Linked DNA regions of Arabidopsis thaliana. The protein of the gene in region 4 purifies or fractionates together with the protein of the main gene of each other region. This does not show direct contact. Each region holds a gene or a part of one and is shown on either strand. Other genes may lie near its edges.

What was found.
Region 1: the proteins of OLI2 (region 4) and AT4G15770 fractionate together in Arabidopsis thaliana (co-fractionation; one large-scale study listed by BioGRID). This does not show direct contact.
Region 2: the proteins of OLI2 (region 4) and AT5G52490 fractionate together in Arabidopsis thaliana (co-fractionation; one large-scale study listed by BioGRID). This does not show direct contact.
Region 3: the proteins of OLI2 (region 4) and AT2G44530 fractionate together in Arabidopsis thaliana (co-fractionation; one large-scale study listed by BioGRID). This does not show direct contact.

The regions. Positions count from the first base shown.
Region 1 is NC_003075.7:8,975,856-8,979,754, reverse strand, and holds AT4G15770 (RNA binding protein), read right to left. Parts: upstream 1,861-3,899; 5' UTR 1,696-1,860; coding exon 1,132-1,695; 3' UTR 811-1,131; downstream 1-810. Other genes in the region: AT4G15765 (FAD/NAD(P)-binding oxidoreductase family protein), read left to right, coding at 2,544-2,614, 2,717-2,782, 2,942-3,140, 3,394-3,622, 3,722-3,899.
Region 2 is NC_003076.8:21,296,823-21,301,162, reverse strand, and holds AT5G52490 (Fibrillarin family protein), read right to left. Parts: upstream 2,307-4,340; coding exon 2,288-2,306; intron 2,052-2,287; coding exon 1,678-2,051; intron 1,596-1,677; coding exon 1,518-1,595; intron 1,426-1,517; coding exon 1,180-1,425; intron 1,086-1,179; coding exon 924-1,085; downstream 1-923. Other genes in the region: AT5G52480 (RNI-like superfamily protein), read left to right, coding at 3,401-3,549, 3,669-4,245. UniProt on the Arabidopsis thaliana protein: S-adenosyl-L-methionine-dependent methyltransferase that has the ability to methylate both RNAs and proteins. Involved in pre-rRNA processing.
Region 3 is NC_003071.7:18,381,331-18,386,915, reverse strand, and holds AT2G44530 (Phosphoribosyltransferase family protein), read right to left. Parts: upstream 3,402-5,585; 5' UTR 3,185-3,401; coding exon 3,089-3,184; intron 2,955-3,088; coding exon 2,778-2,954; intron 2,551-2,777; coding exon 2,302-2,550; intron 2,032-2,301; coding exon 1,888-2,031; intron 1,781-1,887; coding exon 1,613-1,780; intron 1,542-1,612; coding exon 1,472-1,541; intron 1,392-1,471; coding exon 1,310-1,391; intron 1,221-1,309; coding exon 1,061-1,220; intron 981-1,060; coding exon 942-980; 3' UTR 708-941; downstream 1-707. Other genes in the region: GH9B9 (glycosyl hydrolase 9B9), read left to right, coding at 1-146, 258-575; AT2G44525 (NADH dehydrogenase ubiquinone 1 alpha subcomplex assembly factor-like protein (DUF498/DUF598)), read right to left, coding at 3,596-3,682, 3,780-3,880, 4,022-4,056, 4,341-4,457, 4,614-4,786; COX10 (cytochrome c oxidase 10), read right to left, coding at 5,185-5,525.
Region 4 is NC_003076.8:22,644,426-22,651,577, forward strand, and holds OLI2 (S-adenosyl-L-methionine-dependent methyltransferases superfamily protein), read right to left. Parts: upstream 5,093-7,152; 5' UTR 4,959-5,092; coding exon 4,362-4,958; intron 4,273-4,361; coding exon 4,209-4,272; intron 4,094-4,208; coding exon 3,960-4,093; intron 3,865-3,959; coding exon 3,781-3,864; intron 3,699-3,780; coding exon 3,624-3,698; intron 3,521-3,623; coding exon 3,449-3,520; intron 3,361-3,448; coding exon 3,287-3,360; intron 3,146-3,286; coding exon 3,093-3,145; intron 2,987-3,092; coding exon 2,877-2,986; intron 2,675-2,876; coding exon 2,606-2,674; intron 2,521-2,605; coding exon 2,446-2,520; intron 2,349-2,445; coding exon 2,256-2,348; intron 2,169-2,255; coding exon 2,089-2,168; intron 2,004-2,088; coding exon 1,904-2,003; intron 1,791-1,903; coding exon 1,471-1,790; intron 1,366-1,470; coding exon 1,317-1,365; 3' UTR 1,023-1,316; downstream 1-1,022. UniProt on the Arabidopsis thaliana protein: Involved in ribosomal large subunit assembly, required for normal progression of rRNA processing. S-adenosyl-L-methionine-dependent methyltransferase that probably methylates the C(5) position of cytosine 2268 (m5C2268) in nuclear 25S rRNA.

The DNA.
Region 1 (3,899 bases), on a different chromosome or scaffold from region 4:
TTTGGATTAAAAAAACAAAAACAAAGCGCCCACCGTGGGGCTCGAACCCACGACCACAAGGTTAAGAGCCTTGCGCTCTACCAACTGAGCTAGACGGGCTTTGTGACTAATGATACCAGAAAAACTATATAACAGTAAATATTATTTCTAAACATTTTGCAACACAGCTTTGCATCCCAATTCCCAAGTGAGGAACAAACGTACAAAGGCCAAGACTTTGGGTTGAAGTTGAACTTTACAAGATTACGTTTGAAAAGATGATGAATATCAATCCCCTACTCTTAATGTGGGAAATTTTCAGTGTACAACATATTTATTCAAAGAACACCCTCAATATCTTTCCCAAAAAGTTATGCAATCTGTTTCAGAAAGATTTCAGAACTTAATTGGTTTAAACATCTCTTCTCCAGATTATTTGGCAGCAGTACACAACCTATATGCCCAGTAATAAGTTTTGAAGTTTTAAATCAAAGCAAGCAATCTGTTTCCATACAGAAAACTGATTCATCAGCTTACAATTGTAGCTTCTCGATACTCTTGTTTGAGAACAATTGAGACTTTCATAGATACAATACCATGTTCCACAAAATTTGTGACAGTCACATACCCTTAATACTCAAAGGCCAAAGTTTGAAGCTTGAAAACAATTTGAAGCTTTTGGACTATAAAACCAAAGAAAAATCAGCATAATCAATCTGTCTCAAAAATCAGCATAATCAATCTGTCTCAAAAATCAGCATAATCAATCTGTCTCCAACACATATCTGAATCATTAGGGTTACAGATTTGAAAATTAGCATATGTATGTAAATTTCCAAAGTTTCAAGCTTGATGAAGAATTTGAAGCTTTTAAGTATAAAAATCAAAGCAATATCAGGAAACTCAACCTGTCTCCAATACAAATCTTGATCATCAGGTTACAGATTTGAAAATTCGCATATGAATGTAAATTTTTTAGCTTTTACATACTCAAGAGTCTCACAAAACACCTCAAAAACAGATTTATAAAAATCGAGACTTTCATAGATCCAGAACCAAGTTCCACGAAACTTGTAACAGCTACATACTTTAAAACTCAAAGCAACAAGCAGAATCAAACTAAGACACAACAAAGACAAAACCTTTAAACTTTCAAAGGTCATCTTCACCCCTCAAATACTCTCCAATATCAGCCTGATGAAGCACAACAATACCATTAGGATCCAATTTCCTACAATCCTGTGTACTCTTCGCAGCAATCCCAAACCCTAACGGAACATCAGACATCGAGAACACAACAACACCATCTCCAGGAACAATACTATCAGTAATCCTCCCTAATCCACCTTTCAAGACATGGTTCCCATAAAGAAACGACATCTCCGAAGTGGGTTTAAGCCATACCTTGTGTTTAGCATTCGCCGCCAAGATATTGAGTGACATAATCGTCAGATGGAAACTACCGGCGTGAGTGTATTTCCCGATGCAGGTTCCGAAGGAGACTAGGTTTTTCCTGGAGATGTTTGTGGCTCGCTTCACGAGGGCTTCGCTGACGTAGTAGACTCTGTTTTTCTGGAGGCGGAAGCAGTAGCTGCCGGGTGTAGATTCGGGTCCTTCGTCTGATGGGTTCTCGACGATCTTCTTGAGGTTGTTGCCGACGAATTTGAAGAGCTTCTCGAAGACGACGGTTGTCTCGGTCTCGTCTAAAGGACGCATCTTCGGGGAAGAAAGTGATGAATAATGGAGAAAGAAGAGAAGCTCTCTGTTTCTAAGAGGGATTGTGTTTTTTTAGGGTTTTAGGGATTTAGGACCAAACCTAATGCGGCCGATGAGTTTTGTTATTTCGACTTTGGTCCTTTGTTTTAAAAATATCTATTGTCATTTCAACCTCGAAATTATTATTTTTGTTAAATCCAACCCATGAATAATTCACTTTGAATATTTGGACTTTGGAGGATAACTGAAAGTTATAACAAATTTGATAGTTCATGTAGTTTATTGAAAAGATGTTTAGTTAGAGATTTTTTCATGTGTAAAAATATTATAAGGAAATCATACAATGAATTACTAATATTATAAGGGCAATTGACAAAACAAAAATATATTATTTTAGAAAAAGGTATATATATTTCTAATATAAATAAATACAATTAATTACAAATATTGTATAACGTGTAAGAAAATAATTGTTTTAAATATATATATATACTTCTAAGATTAAGTAAATTATACATTTAATCACTAATACAGTAAAAATATTAAATAAATTATTAAAATTAGTAATTCTAACACAAGAAGGCTTAAATTTTTCTTTTCTTTTTTTTCTCTCTTCAGAATTGGTTTCATATAACGATCTGTGTGATACACAGTTTAATTGATATATGAATCGACAAATACCAATAAAAATCGCTGTGAATGAATATGTATAGATAACGAAAAATACGCGGGTCAAGGTACAACCACGACATGCCATATTGCCATGTGGCTTCAACCCCCACATATAAGTCCACGACATTGCAGGACATAACGATCATAAAATTTGGAGGAAATACAAATATAGAAGAATGGAAGAATTGGACATAGTAATCGTGGGAGGAGGCATTGCTGGTCTTGCAACTTCCCTTGCTCTTCACAGGTTCACTATAATCTCCTCATTTTCTCAATTATAAGGTAATTTAAATTAGAAAACATATACATGAACTATTGACTAACTAAACATACAAATATGATTATAAAGGAAGGGCATAAAGAGCGTTGTGTTGGAGAGATCAGAGTCTGTAAGATCGGAAGGAGCAGCATTTTGGTATTCAGACTAACGGCTGGCTTGCTCTTCAACAACTTGGTGTCGCCGATAAGCTAGCTTCGTCTTAAGTCTCTCCCAATTCATCAGTAAGTATATAAATATTTATATTTTAACTAACCTTATCTAGTTATAATGATTTCCGGTATGGTACTAAAACAGGATAAGAGATGTTTTGATCGAGAAAGGTATTAAACGAAGAGAATCGGTTGGACCAGCATCCTATGGAGAAGTAAGAGGTGTACTAAGGAACGACTTGGTTCGAGCTTTGGCTCATGCTCTTCCTCTTGGCACTCTCCGGCTTGGTTGCCATATTTTGTCGGTTAAGCTCGACGAAACAAAATCGTTTCCGATTGTGCACGTTAAAAACGGGAGAAGCTATCAAAGCAAAGGCACGTTTTAACAACAGTAGATATATTTATTGATCAATTATTGAGGTGATGCCGTAGTGGAATTTTTTTAGTATATACTTTATATTAGCCGACAGTGACATTTATGGGTCGTGATCGGTTTTAATGGTTTGTGTTTTGTTTGTTTTTCACTGAAAGCAACATGTTTAGCATGAAATGCATGGGTCTTATATATTTTGATAATATACTTTTCTTTTAATTTAGGTTTTGATTGGCTGCGATGGGTCAAATTCTGTAGTCTCTAGATTTCTAGGATTAAACCCGACTAAAGACCTCGGTTCGCGGGCCATCAGAGGGTTCACAAATTACCCGGACGACCATGGATTCCGACAAGAGTTTATAAGAATCAAGATGGACAACGTCGTAAGCGGACGACTTCCTATAACTCACAAACTCGTCTTTTGGTTTGTTGTTTTGCGAAATTGTCCCCAAGGTAATTAATAACCCGGTCATGCTACATTTCATACTATACATAGACTTCTATTGTTTTCATATAACGCACTAACGTATTTATAATTTGTTTTATAAATAGACTCAAACTTCTTAAAAAATCAAGAGGATATCGCAAGATTGGCACTAGCATCAGTCCGCGAATTCTCAGAAGAGTGGAAAGAGATGGTGAAGAATTGTGATATGGACTCTTTGTATATCAACCGTTTAAGGTACCGTGCTCCTTGGGATGTTCTGTCTGGAAAATTCCGACGTGGCAC
Region 2 (4,340 bases), 1.3 Mb from region 4:
CATTTTCTTTTGCAATTTGTTTTCCACGTGTCCAGCCATCTTATTTCTTTTATTTTCAATGTTACAGCCAATTGGTCTATTTTCAATGATAATATGATATAGCTCAAGCAGACATTGATATTGCGCCTATTTTCATATTTTGCATTAGTATCCGTTTAATCTATGTCAATTAAGTTTAGTGTAGTTATACAAACAAAAAGTCAGGGTGGCCGAGTGGTCTAAGGCGCCAGACTCAAGTTCTGGTCCTCGTAAGAGGGCGTGGGTTCAAATCCCACTTCTGACATTTTTATTTTGTTATTTTTCCCTTTAATACATGACCTGATGACCAATTTCAAATTTACTCTTAAATTTTCAAGGATGAAGTTCATTACGAAAGTTTAATCTATTAGAAGGCAGAACTGAAAATAGCAAATAGTGCAAAAATTTTATTCTTTGGAACATATTTGAATAATGTGATTATTTTCAGCTAATTATCGTCTTCTCTTTGTCATAAACACAAAACAATGTATTTATCAATTATGTCTAAGGAAACATAAATTGATGAACAAGCAGAGTTTCACTTTCTGTCTACAAATTTGAAATTACACTTCCACAAAATCATATTATCGATAACAAACTTTTAAAATCACATTGAAAATCTCAAATCACAATGAATGATTCTTCAATGTAACGTTGTGTTAGTTCCACGTTCGATAAAACAAACCAAAATATAAATACTAGAATTCAACTCAAAATGTATGTGTATTCTACCTTTTGTTTTTGCAAAACTCAACTTCTTAAAACTCATACTAGTTAGAAGACAAATCACAGTGAGAATCAGAGAAAAATAATAATTTTAAAGCCTCATGAATGTGTATGAATTTTAACAATCACAAACTAAGTAAAGAGTATCAGCTTCCTAATTAGATAGCAGTATCAGCTTTTTACTTCCTAGGCAAGCGATATCCACCAAAAACACAAGCATGCTTTTCCTCACAAGAGTCAAGATGCAATATCTCTGTTGGTCTCAACTCTTCCATTTGTAACTTCTCCACTTCCATCTGATACACAGTTTCTGCTGCAATTGTTGAGTCTATAGAATTCGCCTGAAACAAGTAACTTAGAGTTAACCAAACAATGCACACTAAAAAGAGAATGATTTTGATTTGAATCAATGGTCAAAAAAGTTTTGTTACAAACCTTTATAGAGATCATAAAGTGCCCTCCAGATTTGAGGAAATAAGAAGCATTGAGACTTAATATGTTAGCTTGCTCAGGGTGATTAACATCAGAGAATATGATATCAACCATTCCCACAAGCATTCTATATTTAGCAGGATGTCTAGCATCTTCAATGATTGGTATAACATTAGTTCTCTTCTCCGCCATGTTCATCAAAACTTTACCACAAATATCAGAATGCTCAACAGCGTAAACACATCCCTCCTACCAATCAGAAAAGCTAGATATAAGTAACATAGAGAGAAAACACTCACTCAATCTTAAAAGTTAGGGTTTAAGGTTTAGTGTTCACTTACTGGACCAACAATGTCAGAGACATGAGACACGGTGTATCCAGAAGAAGCACCAAGGTACAGAACTTTAACACCAGGTTTCTACAATTTCAAGAAACAAGTATTCATTAGTTTCGGTAACAGAAGAATAAAAGAGATTGTTACTTTAAGTTATGGGACTTACGATCCAAATGTTATCAACACCAGTGGTAATAGCATCAGCTAACTTAGATCTATGAGGGTTCCAAACTCTGTATTCAACAGTAGATCGGTCTTCGTTCTGAACAAAGATTCTCTTCTCATTGTAAATGATTTCACCAGGAACTAAGTTCTTGGTTACAAGAGCATCTGCTTTACTTTTGGCAACAAACACTCCTGCGTGCCTGTGTGGTGTCACTAACACTTTGCTTCCTCCCTTAATTCCACCGTCCGATTCACTTTTAACTCTTCCAGGCCCTCTTCCACGGCCACTTTCGCCGCCTCTTCCACTGCCTCTTACGGCACTTCCTTCACCGCCTCTGGCTAAACCTCTTCCACCTCTAACACCACCACCACGTCCTGAGCATAATCATACAGATAAAACCGAAATTAACTAATCAGAAGAGAGTATTATTAAATCTCCTATTAAACTTGGATTGAAGAAGTGAAGACTCAAAACAGTTTACGTAACAAGCAATTCAGGTAGATATATTGTGACAAAACGAATTTGGAGTTAACAACCCTCAACCCTATACTATAGGTCGAACAGAGAAATTAAACAAGTAGTAAAACAAAACGGCTGCTAGGGTTCTAACCTCTTTGGGGAGGTTTCATCTTTGCTATAGAGCGAGAGCGAAAGCAACAAAGAGAAGGTTGATGTTAATCGATGTTTGCAGCTTTCGTGTTTGGTTTTTTTATTTTTTAGTTTTTATCGAGCCCCTGCTAGGGTTTAAGAATGTTTATCTATTGGAATTTGGAGTTGGTATAGGAAAGCTGGAAAGGTTCCATTTATTTTTCCGATAAATATGGAAAAGTTTTTATTTATTACATTTAACAAATTCTGTTAAACAGTTTACTTCTTGTAGGAAGATTTCAGATCCTATCGAACTCTTTTTATCGAATCACCACCATCAGATTTCTTGTTATGCAAGGAATACATGATTTTGAAATACAAAAGGTCAGAATATTAGGAGCTTAAGGCCCAATAATTAATTCAGGTAATGGGCTTATTAGACATGAATTGTTTTCGTAAACTTAGTGCCATAAGGACTAGATTGTAAAATTTTGCATCTTATTGTTATAACTTTATATTGCAGATCAAGTAATCAGAGATGCCTTCTGACTTTAAAGTCCAAAACAATCATTAGTTTAAACAAAACAAGAAGAGGAAAAAAAATCACACGAAGTTGGACAAAAAACTCATAAAATTGATTTTTTTTTCATTAGTTAATAAACAATTAAGGCCTTGAATGATTGTAAATTCTAAAATGGTGTCTAGTTTGCATAAATAGATTTTTTTTTTTTGCTTTTCATTAATTAATAAAAAATTAAAAATTTAGATTTCTTAGCTTTTCAGGAAACTTTTTTATGCAAACTAGAAACCATTTTAGAATCTACTACCATTCAAGGCCTAAAACTAAAACCAAAAACTACTTAGAATCTACAAATAATCAAAGAAGGCCTAAAACTAAATGACTTTCTGATATATATATTTCACAGATTTGACATTTTGATCCTCATCAGAAATGGATCCGCTGTCTTCACTGATGAAAAACGAAGAGCCAAAAAACTGGGCGGATCTTCCGACGGATTTGATGTGTTTGATTCTGCTACGTCTTAGCGTGACTGAGATACTGGAGAACGCTCAGAAAGTGTGTAGATCGTGACGATATGTTTGTAAAGACCCATCCATATGGCGTAAAATCGACATGCGAATCTTGAGTTACAACAAACCAGTACTGGTGAACAATCCTGAGGCGATATGTCGTAACGCCGTTGATCGTAGCGAGGGTGGCTTGCTGGAGATCAACATTGGGGACTTCGGGAGTGATTCTCTCCTTACATACATCGCGGAGAGGTTCTCCTCTAATTCTAGTTTTGACTTTTGATTACTTTTCATGTAAGTCTTCAAGTGTCTGTTAAAAACAGATATCTCAAGATTATGATTTATAACTTTTTACACACCATTACTTGTAGGTCAAGTAATCTTAGAAGCCTTAGACTAATGTGCTCAGAAATAACAGACGATGGATTTGTTCAAGCAGTTGTGAAACTTCCAATGCTTGAAGAGCTTGAGGTTTCAGGAATATCATTGTCAGGAGAGTCTATGAAACTTGCAGGGCTGTCTTGTCCAAATCTGAAGACATTGATGCTAAACCGCCTCTTTTACTTAAGTTCGGATGATGATGATCATGATGCCATAGCAATTGCAGAAAGCATGCCTAAACTACGCCATCTCCAGCTTTGTGGGAACAAACTAACCAAAACAGGCTTAAACGCCATTCTTGACGGTTGTCCTCACCTGGAACACCTCGATTTACGCCAATGTATCAACCTTGTCGGGAATCTAGAGAAGCGTTGTTTTGAGAAAATTAAAGATTTGAGACGCCACAATGATTCTACCTCTGCTGATTACCCGTTTTCTTTTGAAACTTACTATTTTCATTGGTCACGCCAATTGGCAATACTTAAAAATGCGCTACCGATGGAAGAAGGCGCCTATAACTTTGATCCAATAGTGGAAGAAGCCGAATATTACTTGAAACTGTATTGAGACTTATGTCAATAACACTTAGTCGGTTTGTTTGTGTTTAAAATTTTATTAACCAAAAAAAAATGAGTTCCTTTCAGAGCTAAGTGATACTTTTA
Region 3 (5,585 bases), on a different chromosome or scaffold from region 4:
TGCCGTGGAACAACCTCCAATACACCACAACCGCTTCTTTCGTTCTCTCAGCATATTCTAAGTATCTCACAAAGGCAAAAGCCTCCATCCAATGTCCCAAAGGTGCTCTTCAAGCTTCTGATCTTCTCCAAATCGCTCGTTCCCAGGTAGTTAATAAAACCTAATATAGTACCAACTATAAAACATGTTGTTGAAAATATATCAAGACTTTTTTCAATATAATATATACTAATTTGCGATTTCCTCATGTTATATAGGTTGACTATATACTTGGGTCGAACCCCCAGAAAATGAGCTACATGGTTGGAGTTGGGACCAATTATCCCAAAAAACCACACCATAGAGCAGCCTCCATAGTATCGATCAGAAAGGACAAAACACCAGTGACGTGTAGTGGAGGGTATGATAAATGGTATAACAATCCTGCACCAAACCCTAACGTTTTAATGGGAGCACTTGTCGGAGGACCCAACGAGAACGATGTTTATGGAGATGAGAGGAGTAATTTCCAGCAAGCTGAGCCTGCGACGGTTACTGTTGCTCCGTTTGTTGGTGTCTTGGCCGCCGTTTTTTAATTTTGTCTCTCCTCGTTTTGCAAATTTGAGTATGTTTGCTTTATATCTTATATAAGTCATAGGTTTAAGGTCTAAATGTAACTTGGCTTTAAATAAAATAAAATAAAATCCAGATATTTCACAAATAAATAATCTTCAACGGTAAACTATCTACATGATTGGATCCAAATTGACGAAAAAAAAAATATTGTATTCTTAAAAAGTTTGAAAACGTGGTTCCATTAAATCTTCTTCTCTACAAAAGTGTTCCCTTCTTGACAATCACACTCAAGTCTAACATTTTTACAGCGGAAAAGAGTTTGTACATTATCAGAAATTCATACTACTGAGAGGCTATAAGTACATTCTTTACCCTTTTTCCATCACTCAATCAATCCCCAACGTCGAAAATGGCTCAATGGCTCCCTGAGAATATCAAAAAACTTTATTAGACACAGAAGTTCTCTTCAAGCGAAAATTGCAAGTAGTGTTTATGTTTTACTCACCGAGCAATCATCATGAACACGCCATATGGTCTCCCCAAGAAGGTTTGCTACTGAGAGAACTGTAAGCTGAGGAAAATAGTTCTTCTCTGACAATGGAATCGTGTTGGTTATGATCACCTCTTGAAACAGTCCGCTCGATAGTCGACTGATTGCAGGAGGGCTGTTTCCGAATATAGACACAAATGCATATGTCAGCTTCTTTCTCTTTTTTTATAATTCCAACACAGAGAAAATATTTCATGGACTTACCTAAAAACGGCATGAGTGGTACAAGCGTATACTTCTCTTGCTCCTTCTTGGTGTAACAGAGCCGCACCTTTGCTTATGGTTCCTGATATGATATACCTAACGTAAGTATCTAAGCACAATGGGGAATGTTTACAGATATGCAGACCGTGACTTATTACTCACCTGCTGTGTCAATCATGTCATCCACCATTATGGCTACTTTCCCTTTAACATCCCCAATTAAGTTCATCACCTACATGAAACGGGTTGTTAAATGTCAAAATCCAGACTTGGTTAAAATGTATTTTCCAAAGGTTTTTCTACCTCTGCAACATTGTGCCCATGACGTCTTTTATCAACTATTGCTAAAGGTGCATCAGATAACTTCTTCGCAAAAGCGCGAGCTCTTGCGACGCCACCAACATCAGGTGAAACTACCACCAAATCTTCAGAGGATATGGCCTTACTTGCTAGGTAATCAAGTATGACAGGCTGTTCATGAATATTAAAGCACAAGGAAAAGAAGACATAAGAAAGTCTATTTTCACAAAAAGGAACTTGATGCTCAGAGGAGTCATTTAAGAAAAACTTTTTTCTACCTGGCCATAAACATGATCGACTGGAATATCAAAGTAGCCCATAGACTGTCCGGAGTGAAGATCACAAGCAAGGACACGGTCTGCACCAGACTGTGTAATCAAATTGGCCACAAGCTTGGCTGCAATAGATTCACGTCCTTGAGTCTGCAAGAATATGTACAACGAAAGAGTCAAATGAAAAACTCTCAACTAGAAACTAAGTGAAGCCAGAGGAATGAGACAATCGATAAACCCAAATCAGCTTCATACAGATAACTAAGCTGCCAATTTGATTACTTGATTACTTCCAAATACTAACTACCATAGATCTGACTTAAACTGACAATCGATTACTCTTGGAGACAAATCATTGTGCATGTTTTCACAGGACGATTGAATCCAAGACAGATTCTATAGTTATAGAAAAAGACTTGCCTTTCTATCAGCTCGTGCATAACCAAAGTAAGGAATCACAGCCGTGATAGTTTTGGCTGATGCTCTCCGACAAGCATCAATCATAACGAGCAATTCCATAAGGTTTTCATTTGCAGGTGGGCATGTAGGCTGTACAAGGAACACATCACATCCCCTTACACTCTCTTGTAGCTGAACATAGATCTCACCATCAGCAAAGCGTTTAATCTTGATTTTCCCAAGGTCCAGACCCAAATAGCAAGAAATCTCCTGTATCATCAGCGTAAAACACCAATGAACAAACAAGACGATTCCAGAATATACTCTAAACCAATTTCTTCCTAATCCTAATCTTTGCAATTGAACAAATCTCCAGTTTTAAGCTACTAATTCCGAAGTCTATATCAGTTTCTTCCTAAACTAATTTCAGTTCCAAGCTACTAATTCTTGCAATTAAATCCAAAGAACTCCAACGACTAACAAAGCTAAGAACGAACCTGAGCCAAAATAGGATTAGCAGTGCCGGAAAAGATACGAAGTCGTGTGGTGTTCTGATAAATCGAATCTTCCAAACGTGTCCTCGAAAAGCTAGCCGGAACGGTGTCGCCAGTAAGCAGATGGAAACCGGCAGAGTTTCCGCCGTCGAACTTGTACGGATCCGCCGCGTTACACTTCTTTTCAATTCCACAACCAACAGAAACAATCGAGAACAAGATTCATCAGATTCGAGCGAAGAAGACCGTATAAAGTACAAATACCAATAGAAAGATAATAGTCGGAGAGAGTGAGAGAAGTAGATGAGACTTACAAGAGGAAATCGAACGGAAGAAGGCGGACGAATCAGAGAAGAACGCCGGAGATTTAGCGCCGGGAAAGTAGGCGATGGTTGAACAATAGACGCCATGTTCGAGAAATGGATCCGGAGAGAGAGATTTTAGGGTTTTGAGAAAAAGCAGTCTTTTCTTCTTCTTCCCCGCGAGATACGAATTTGACTACAAGAAAATGACTCTCTCTTCTTCTTCTTCCTTTATATACTCAAAAACTCATTTCTAAGTTTTTAACTAACCGTAACGATTTCCGTTAAAAATATAACTGTAATTCAGATTCTTTAAATCTCATTCATTGATACAACATAGTCTCTGGAGATATTATATCTTTGGAAGGATGAGAAATGCGAGATAAAGTCGCACCATGTTACAACGTTTGTTATATAGCTCAAACGCAATAAAAACTCCGATGAAATTCGGTTTATTTTCGGAAGGTCTCAAAAACCATTTACAGTTTAGAAAGCCAGAGCTCGAGTTGTTAGTTTTCTTTAGGATGTAACTCCATATGGAAGCAATGCCGCAGCAACGACTCTTCCTTCTTCATTCAGAATGTTGTACGTTGATGCAGCATTTCTCTGAATTAAAAGTAATCAATATAATAAGCGAATAAGAAGTTATGAAGTAAGCTTGGGACTAGAAAAGAAGCCTGTAGAAATGGATTAAGAAACTTACAGAATCAACTGTTTCTAGTTTCATGCCAAGGGACTTGACAAACTGACGGACCTCGGGAGTTACCGGGTGAATGTCTCTTCCACAACCAACAATCAAGAGCTCTGGACAATTCGATGATTTAGTTTAGAATATCTAATAAGAGCTGAGATTGAAGCTAATATGCAGCAAAAGTTAATCAACCAGAGGTACTAATACAGTTTTATTTTCATACTGATGACTCATGGGTACACAAATATTATTACCTGGAATAGGTCGAACTGTCTGGAAGATAGACAAGCTGCATCCATGGAAATAGAAATATACAAACGTTTAGCCATTGCTCTCAATGACAAAAAAAAAAAAGAACACTTGTCGAAAATAAACCAAATGTTTTATCAAACACTTCAAATTGATAAAGCTGTCAAATCCTCTCATGACAATGAACATTGAAAACCTTCAACCAATCTATTGCCAAAAGCACACAACTTTCACTCAAACACAGTCATAAAAATCAGCTCAAATCGATATAAGGTTGTGACAGAACATTGGTGAGAATCAAAGGCCTGAGAAGAGAGAAGATACCTATCAGTGGTGATCTCTGAAAATTTACGAGGACTCCATGACATTAACAGATTCCCAACACAGAGTAAGCTACCTTCGTATTTGACTCCATTCACAGTGAAACTCGTATCATTAAATCTGCAAAGTAAGTGAAGAGAATCAATCAACCACCACATATTTATACATTTCCAATTCCAAAAACCCTAATCATTCATTAAATCAAACCCAGAAACACAGTCGGTAAAAAACAAAATCAACGACGAAAAACAATAGAGAAAGCTTGGAATTGATTACTCTTGGAAGCGAAGCTGGTCTTCAGGAACATTGTCAATGAGATTGATCTGATCATAGAGGGAAAAAGCTCGTCTCAGAGAGGGCAAAACAGGATTAGAATGCTTCGGAACTTCTTTTCTCATACTTTGAATCAATTTCGGCAAAGTCGCCATTGATTTCAACCTCATCGCCATCTTCGTGGCAGCTCAAAGTCCTCAATCGTGATTTTCCGATTTCCGCAGCCGTCGAGACTCGAGACCTTTAACCAACCCGGTTTAATCGTTTAACTCTACACCATCATCGGTTATCGGATTTCATTTCCAAAACCAAATTCGTTACTACGTTTATTAGATAGACCTAACACGTCAAAGCTCAAAAATTCATCAATTTGATCAGATAATTGATAAAGTATGTATTTTGTATCATTTGAAACATACTTAGAGAAAAAATACAATTATGTGGAGATGAGAAAAAATACATAAACTTGTATGCGTTCTCCACTTCATTATTAACCAAAGATTAAACTTAAGAACTTTTCAGATTTTTTTTTTAATTTCTGTTTCCAAAAATTCAATAGCTTGCTTAAAGGTTATCATGGAGAGTAGAAGGAAGGAGCTGGGAGGAAAGGAAACGGTGCAGCAGAGGCATAAGCCACCGGAGGTTGAGCCACACGTTTCTTTCGCCTCTGAGTTTTGACTTCACCAGATACAGAATTTGTTAATCCGGCTTCTTCTACGAGTTGTTGCTGATTATCATTAGAGACACGGTGTAGAAGAAGACCAGACATGAAAACAGGAAGGAAGAGAAGACTGGCATGGAACATTTTCCTTGCTTTATGCATGGTCCGGTCTCGGTAGAATGAAAATGCTGTTGCAGCGATTGCTAGTGTGAGAAGTGTTGATTCGAGGCAAAACCAACTTGAGGTTAACCCCCCTGTCACAAAAATTGGAAGGAACAGCAAAAATCAGATACAGCAATGCAGTCAATAAACTA
Region 4 (7,152 bases):
TTTCCAGTTTTGTTTTTGTTTCACTAAAGTCAGCCAAAATAATTCAATTATGATGGGCATATTATAAAAAAAATTACAGTAATTTTGTTCTTTATTTCCAATAATATGTCATATACTGTACACTTGTTTTCAGTTAATTTCTGTTTGATTAGTTTATTATCCACTCTACTTTAGTACAACCCAAATGTCAGAACATAGTCCACATGATTTTGTTTGACGTAAAGTTATAAATAATAGTCCACCTGATTTATTTTATTATCTTCTTTTTGTTTATAAAATAACCATCTTTTTCCCTTACAAAAATGTTCTTTATAACAGCAGACAAAAAAAATGTTCTTTCGAATATAATAAAATCAGGAAGAAAGTAAACAAGAAAAATATATGAAATTATTCATACCATAATAATACAAAAATTGATTGATTGGAACATATAATCGACCAGTTAGATATCTTTAATGATTTTCGATTATTTGAAATACATATTTATAAAAAGAATGAATAATGCAAATAAAAAAAGAAAAAGGAAGAGTTAAGGATAAATAATCAAATTAAAATTGAGAGGTCCCCAAACAAGATCTGACAAAGATAGATGAAGAATGGGTTGTCATGTTCTCCAACACAAGTCCCACTTTGGTGTGAGAGTTTCTCAATCTCTCTCTCTAACTTCTTACAACCAATCAACAGCTCACTGCCAAATCCCTAATTTTTTTTAAAAAACAGTTCTCTGAAAAATAAGAAAAACTAAACTGAAACAATTCTGAGCCTTTCAATTTCATATATTTTGTTTGGTTTCATACAATTATGGTTTGATATAGTTTGGTTTGAGTCAATTCCAACATATGAAGTGATGAATTAACAAATTAATTAAAAAGTTGATAATTAATCATTTGAACTTAAAATTAACAAAATTTAGTATATTCATTTCGGTTTGTTCCAACTACATTTAGGTTAAAAAATGTTGGGTTTTTCGAAATAAAAAATATTTAGGTTAGTAGTTATAGTTTTTTTTTTGGCCACCCCTAGTTTGGTTCTTGAGTAAAAATAACAGCAATTTAGTGATCGGCTCAAGAACACAACTTAACTTTGATTCTCTTAAAAGATTTTTTTCTGAAACAAAACTTTTGGACATTTAAGGTGGTCTGCCCACGGAGTCCAACAGAGTGCTCACTCTGGGTGCTTTTAACGTTGCACAAATCTCGTCGTGAATAAACAAAAACAAGAAAGCCAATATATGGCACAAGCCTACTATAACCATAGATGATAACGTTTTCGCAAATGTTTTTTCTTCTCTTTGATGAAAAAACACTGAATCATCATTACTTCTCCTCCTTCGCCTTCTCCCGCATGGCTATTCTTTTCTCTTCCCTGCAAACGTGATTATACAAATCATTGTCAAGCAACTATATATAAAAGACAAGTCTAAAGCATTTTGTTCTCTCAGTTCATGGATGGGGATAGATATTTATATACCTAGCTTGAGCTATTTCGTTCTTCCATTCCCGTCTCTTCTTCTTTTGCTTCCTTGGTTTAGATGGCTCTTCCACATTTTCAGATTTTGATTTCTTATCCTTTTTACCTCTCTTGTCCTCCTTTGATTTTGCAAGTTTTTCCTTGTTCTTTTTTTCTTTTCTTTCCTTAGGTTGCCTAACGGGAACAGAAGGCTTCTCCGTCTCTTCAATGGCCTCAGCTTCATCATCATCATCACTAGACACTTCAGCTTGCTCTACAGTTTCTACCGCATCATCATCACCTTCTTCTGAAGATTGCTTCACGTTGCTCATTTTCTTCAGCTGTATAAAGAAAAAGAACACAAGAGCATTACATCAAATTGTGTGGATTATATCAACTATTAGAGTATTGACAAGTGCATGGTTGATCGATTACAATGGCCAAAAGTGAGTACCTTTGCCACAAAAAATCCGTCCATGTTGTGTACATGAGGATAGAAACGTCTAGTCTTGTCCAAAGATGGCTGAAACCGGTGTTCTCTAAATCTGGTAAATCTGATGAAGAGAAGAAGGACAAAGAGTTAGAGACATTATTTAATGTTCCTTTAAATATCCCTCAGATGAAAAACTTGTGCATTACCCTTTTCTGCCAAAATCGAGACCACACGTAACGAGTTTAACATCCCTCTTTTTGAGGGCATAGTCAATGACGGCTTCATTCTGCACAATTTTTTCATACATAAAGAAAAATTAGGATGAATCAAATACAAAGAAGAAAATTATGGGGGAAATTATCAGTTAACTAACCTCAGTAACCATAATTGAACATGTTGAATAAACTATATATCCACCGGTTTTGGAATTGGCATCCACCATATCAATAGCAGCGAGTAGAAGTTGCTTCATGAACAAAAAAGGGTTAACTTAGCATGTGTTTAAGAATGAAAATTGGTCTGTTCAGATATAATAGAAGTTATTTAAGAAGGTACTGCCATACCTTTTGCAAGTGAGCAAATTTCTTTATCTCATCCATGGTTTTCGTTATTTTAACTGATTCATCTTTTGATATAATCTGTATTGGGTAGCAGAGGAGATTTAGTAACAAGGATCTAAAACTTAACTACAGTTTAACAGAGAGTAAGTTCGAAGTTCCTTACTCCAGTCCCACTGCAAGGCGCATCCAACAATACTCTATCAACCGTGTTCTGACCTAAAACCTTGGGTAGCTGACAGCAGCAAAGATAACGAAATAAAGAATAAGTGCAAGAAAATAAAACTGGGCAGCATGTTGAGCAAAATTAACCAGATCAAATTTTATAATTCCAGTCATTTCAGTAGTGTGAATTCAAGTAGATGTTACGGGGTTTTTAACATTTTGTGAACAGGTAGCAGAAATTCAACAGAAAAATCAATGTTCAAGAAGCTAACCTCTCTTCCATCATAGTTACAAACTATGGTATTTGTGACCCCCATACGATGCAGATTGGCAGTTAGCGACTTAAGCCTAGGTACTTTCATCTCATTCGCATATATTAAGCCTGGTAATAGCATCATTATAAACATTACTTAAACCAAAAAAAAAAAACATACGACAGCCAAATAGAATATGGGGATAAGAAGCAAGAGAAACCAATGAAGACATACCCGTATTTTTCATTAGAGCGGCGATATAAGTTGTTTTACCACCAGGAGCAGCACTGCATCGATATAAAATCTTGTTATAAACTCACACAACAAAACAGTCAAACACTAGAATTGGAATCATCACACGCCAACAAGGTCAAACGCTTTTTAGCTGCAGCGATTGTTTAGTAGATGAGTAGATGATGATAACTTACGCTACATCCACAATCCGCTCATTCTCTCGAGGGGCAAGGGCCATCACTGGCAAAAACGAACTAGCACCTTGAAGCTGCAAATACACCAAGTAGAGAGACTTAAGCAAACAATTGCATTCCATAAAGGTGAAGAAAAGGGAAAGACATCAGAAGATCACTTACCATGTAGTACCCAGCCAGATATTCAGGAGTTGCACCAATTGGGACTTGTGAATCATAAATAACAAGTCCAACCTGCAGTAGGACATCAGTAAATAAGACTTAGGACAGATCAACAATAGAAGATTCATAAAAATAGGACTGACAGAATAGAAAATAGTAAGAACAAACTACTTACTTTAGACCACTTGCTTAATGGGTCTAGATTGACTCCTCTGTTCAAAAGTACATCAGCAAGATCCCGTCTTCGAGTCTAAAGCAAAACATACATCACCATGAAATTGCAGAACTTGAAAGTCATAAGCTACAACCCAGTAAGTCACAACCAAGTTCACCTTAAGTGTGTTAGTTCGGATGGACGTAGGCCTTTGCTTTTCAAAAGCTTCAATAAGTTCCATAAGTTCACCAGGAGGAAACATCTGCAAGAGAAATCCCAATTCAACATCCATAAGTAAAGAATATCAGCAACATCCTATCCATACTATATCAAAGGAAAGAAACTAGAGAGTCTCACCTCAACCAAAGTTCCAATAAGAAAACTGTTATAACCATAATAAGAACCGAGATCAGCTTTGAGCTGTTCAACACAAGCTTTCCTCGTGGTGTCTTTTGGCCTGAAAGCCTTAAAATTTTTAAGAGCTCTAACAACTGAAATGTTAAATGAATCAACAATTAGAACACCAATCCAAACCAACCTAGATAAATACCATCACACCAACATTTCAACAGTAATAAAGCAACAAAATTTGGAAATGTTACTAACTCTCTTCAATTCTAGTCTTAAGTAGAGGAAGATCTGGTGGACCACGAGCTTCTTCTTCAAGCTCCTGGACAAATGAAAGATAACAACAACAGTTAGATATATGCTAAAACCAAAATCAAACAGAGTAAGTATTACACATGAAAAAAATGTTACCTCTTCAGTTGGTAGCCTAAACGCATCATGTTCAGGTTCTTCATCATGTACATCATCTTGCTTGATAAAATCCTCCAGTTCAGCAGCAGCATCTTTCTTCTGCATTGCTAAGTCTCTATCAATAGCATCAGATTTCGCCACAATATCGTCGTCGTCAGAGTCAGCATCCGAATCCGCATCTAAAGATCCTTCCTCATCTTCATCGCCGCTACCTTCTAGAAAATCGTCACCCAAAGTCTCTTCATCGTTCTCTTCCTCATCATCAGAGAATAACTGATTAGACCCGTTCTCTCCATCATCAGATTCATCAATCTCTTCTGATTCCACAGCTGGAGAAATATCATCTTCATCAGAACCATCGGAAACTTCGTCATCTTCATCAGAATCATCGGTAACTTCGTAATCTTCTAGAGGCTCTTCCTCCACAACTTCCTTCTTCTGCTTCTTCAATGGAGGTTTGTTCTGAGATTTCGCTCCTTTCTTCAACATTGAAGTTTGGGGTTTCATTGGAGGGGTTTTGGATTTGGTAAGCTGCTTCGTTGGAGGGGTTATCGATTTCGTCGCAGCCTTCTTCTTGTTACGAGTGAGGGCAGGCATGGCTACAGGTTTGAATTAGGGTTTTCTCGCGCGGCCAGGGTTTAAGAGAAGAAGTAGAAGATGATGATTGTTGGAGTACACAAAGGTATATTTGACTGGTGTCTATTATTGGGCTTTTGCCTAAATAATTATCGGCCCAATTTAAAACAAATTGAGCCCAATAACTATATGGTGCCTTGTTATTGATTATTCGATATGTTTATTCATACGCACACAACTTTCAAACTAGTGTGAACACGCAATATACTTTAAAATTTTGTTCCACAACCAAAAACAAATATGTCTCGATCAATAAACAAGACAACGAAACGGTGTCAACTTCGACACGAATCGAAACAACACGATCATCGATCTTGTTGGTACAAGCGTGCTCTTGAACTTGTGAAATAAAAACAACCAAATTTTTGTTTTTCCAAAACAAACAAAAACATTTGGAACAAAACATTAACACGGTTAAAATTCTCTCTACAAAAAAAACTTGTAAACTTTCACAAACTCTTGTTTTTCTACTTTTAGTTCTCTTTTATCTTTAGCGTTGTGACAAAATGTAGTTCCGAGATTTGAGGCATTAATTAAGAAGTTGAAAAGCATATTGGCGAAGTTGACAAAGATGGTTGACCACGTTTTTCCACTAATAGTAGAATAATTGGTTGGGTGGAAATTGGATTTTCAGTGGTCCAATTCTCAAACTTGTTCATCGTCTTTTTCTAACAAGTTGATGCTAGCTATTGTCATCTTTTCTTTTGGGACCGAGAGAGAAAGAAAACTAAAAAATCTTGAGAACTTGCTCATAATCTGTTAATGGTTTTGTCAATTTCGCTCCCATCAGTCAACGGAAGTTATAATCAATTTGTCAAAATCTCTATGACACGAAAGCACCTTATCTTGTACTAGCATTGTGTGAAATGGGTCGAGAATATATATTGTCATTATTCATTAGTCTTCTGTCTTGTGCGTACAAACTGAGTTGATATCGGCTCTATCTAATCACTAAGCAATCATAATAGATCAGTAACGTATCTAATGATTCTGAGGATAAACTAGTTGCTAAATTAGATTATTACTATTATCAGTTTTATGTATATTTACCAATAAAAAGATTCACTGTTTTATGTAAAAATAATCTTACGAGAACGAGTTAACGTTTAACCCATTCGTTGAATACATGCGTGCATGTAGAACACTCAAACTAAAAATTGGTTATGTCATATGTGTCTTGACCGATGAGATATATACGACTATATAGGGGGATTGGACTACAATCATTTAAGTTGATTTCTTTTCTATTATATATAGTGACACATTACATGTGACGATATGATGTATATAATAAAGATATTTATTTGTCCGCAAACGCATGATATCAAATGTAATATACATATCAATAACGCGTTTATATTAATCTCTAATACGTACAACATATTACAATCTCTACAAATATCGACATGCTTAAAACCAATAACGCGTTCAGTAGAACAATTTAATGCACGTTCACCAACCATTTTAACATCTTATGTTATTTACACTCGCGTAGTTCATAACATTTGGTTATTACTTATTAGTATATGGACCGGCCCTGCCGATTCAGACCTAATGCGACGATGTTTGAGACATCTTAACAATATGACTATGCTATGATGTTTGATCACCACCTCTATTATATAATGTAGCAAGATGATCAATTATTTGAATACAGTTTTAATTTGTTTGAGGACATACCTAAAATGCTCATATTTTTCTCATTGAAATTACCTTTGAGTCGGTGTTATTCATAAAAAAAGAAGACCATTTATTAGCTACATCATTTTCACATGACGGCTAGAAAAGTCTCATTCAAGAATCTGGTTGTGAAAAGCTAATAAATATATTAGGCCTATCGAGCCAAAAGTTGTTACACATGATTTCAAACATCAAATAAGTCATCGGAGTCAATATTAAAAAGTTCTACGTACATTAAATTCATAAGTTTTGGCAGTTAGAGACATGTCAAGTTGACAAGTTTCATCAGAACATGATCTTTTAGTCTTAGAGATAATTATGTAATTAATATGGCAATAGAGCTAGCTGGCAATAGATCTTAATTATCTAATTAAAGATGAATCACAGTCAAAATCGTTAGAGCTGGCAATAGAAACGTAAAAATGAACCTAGACGACAGTGCAATATCTAACCATGCATGGACTTTTAATTTACA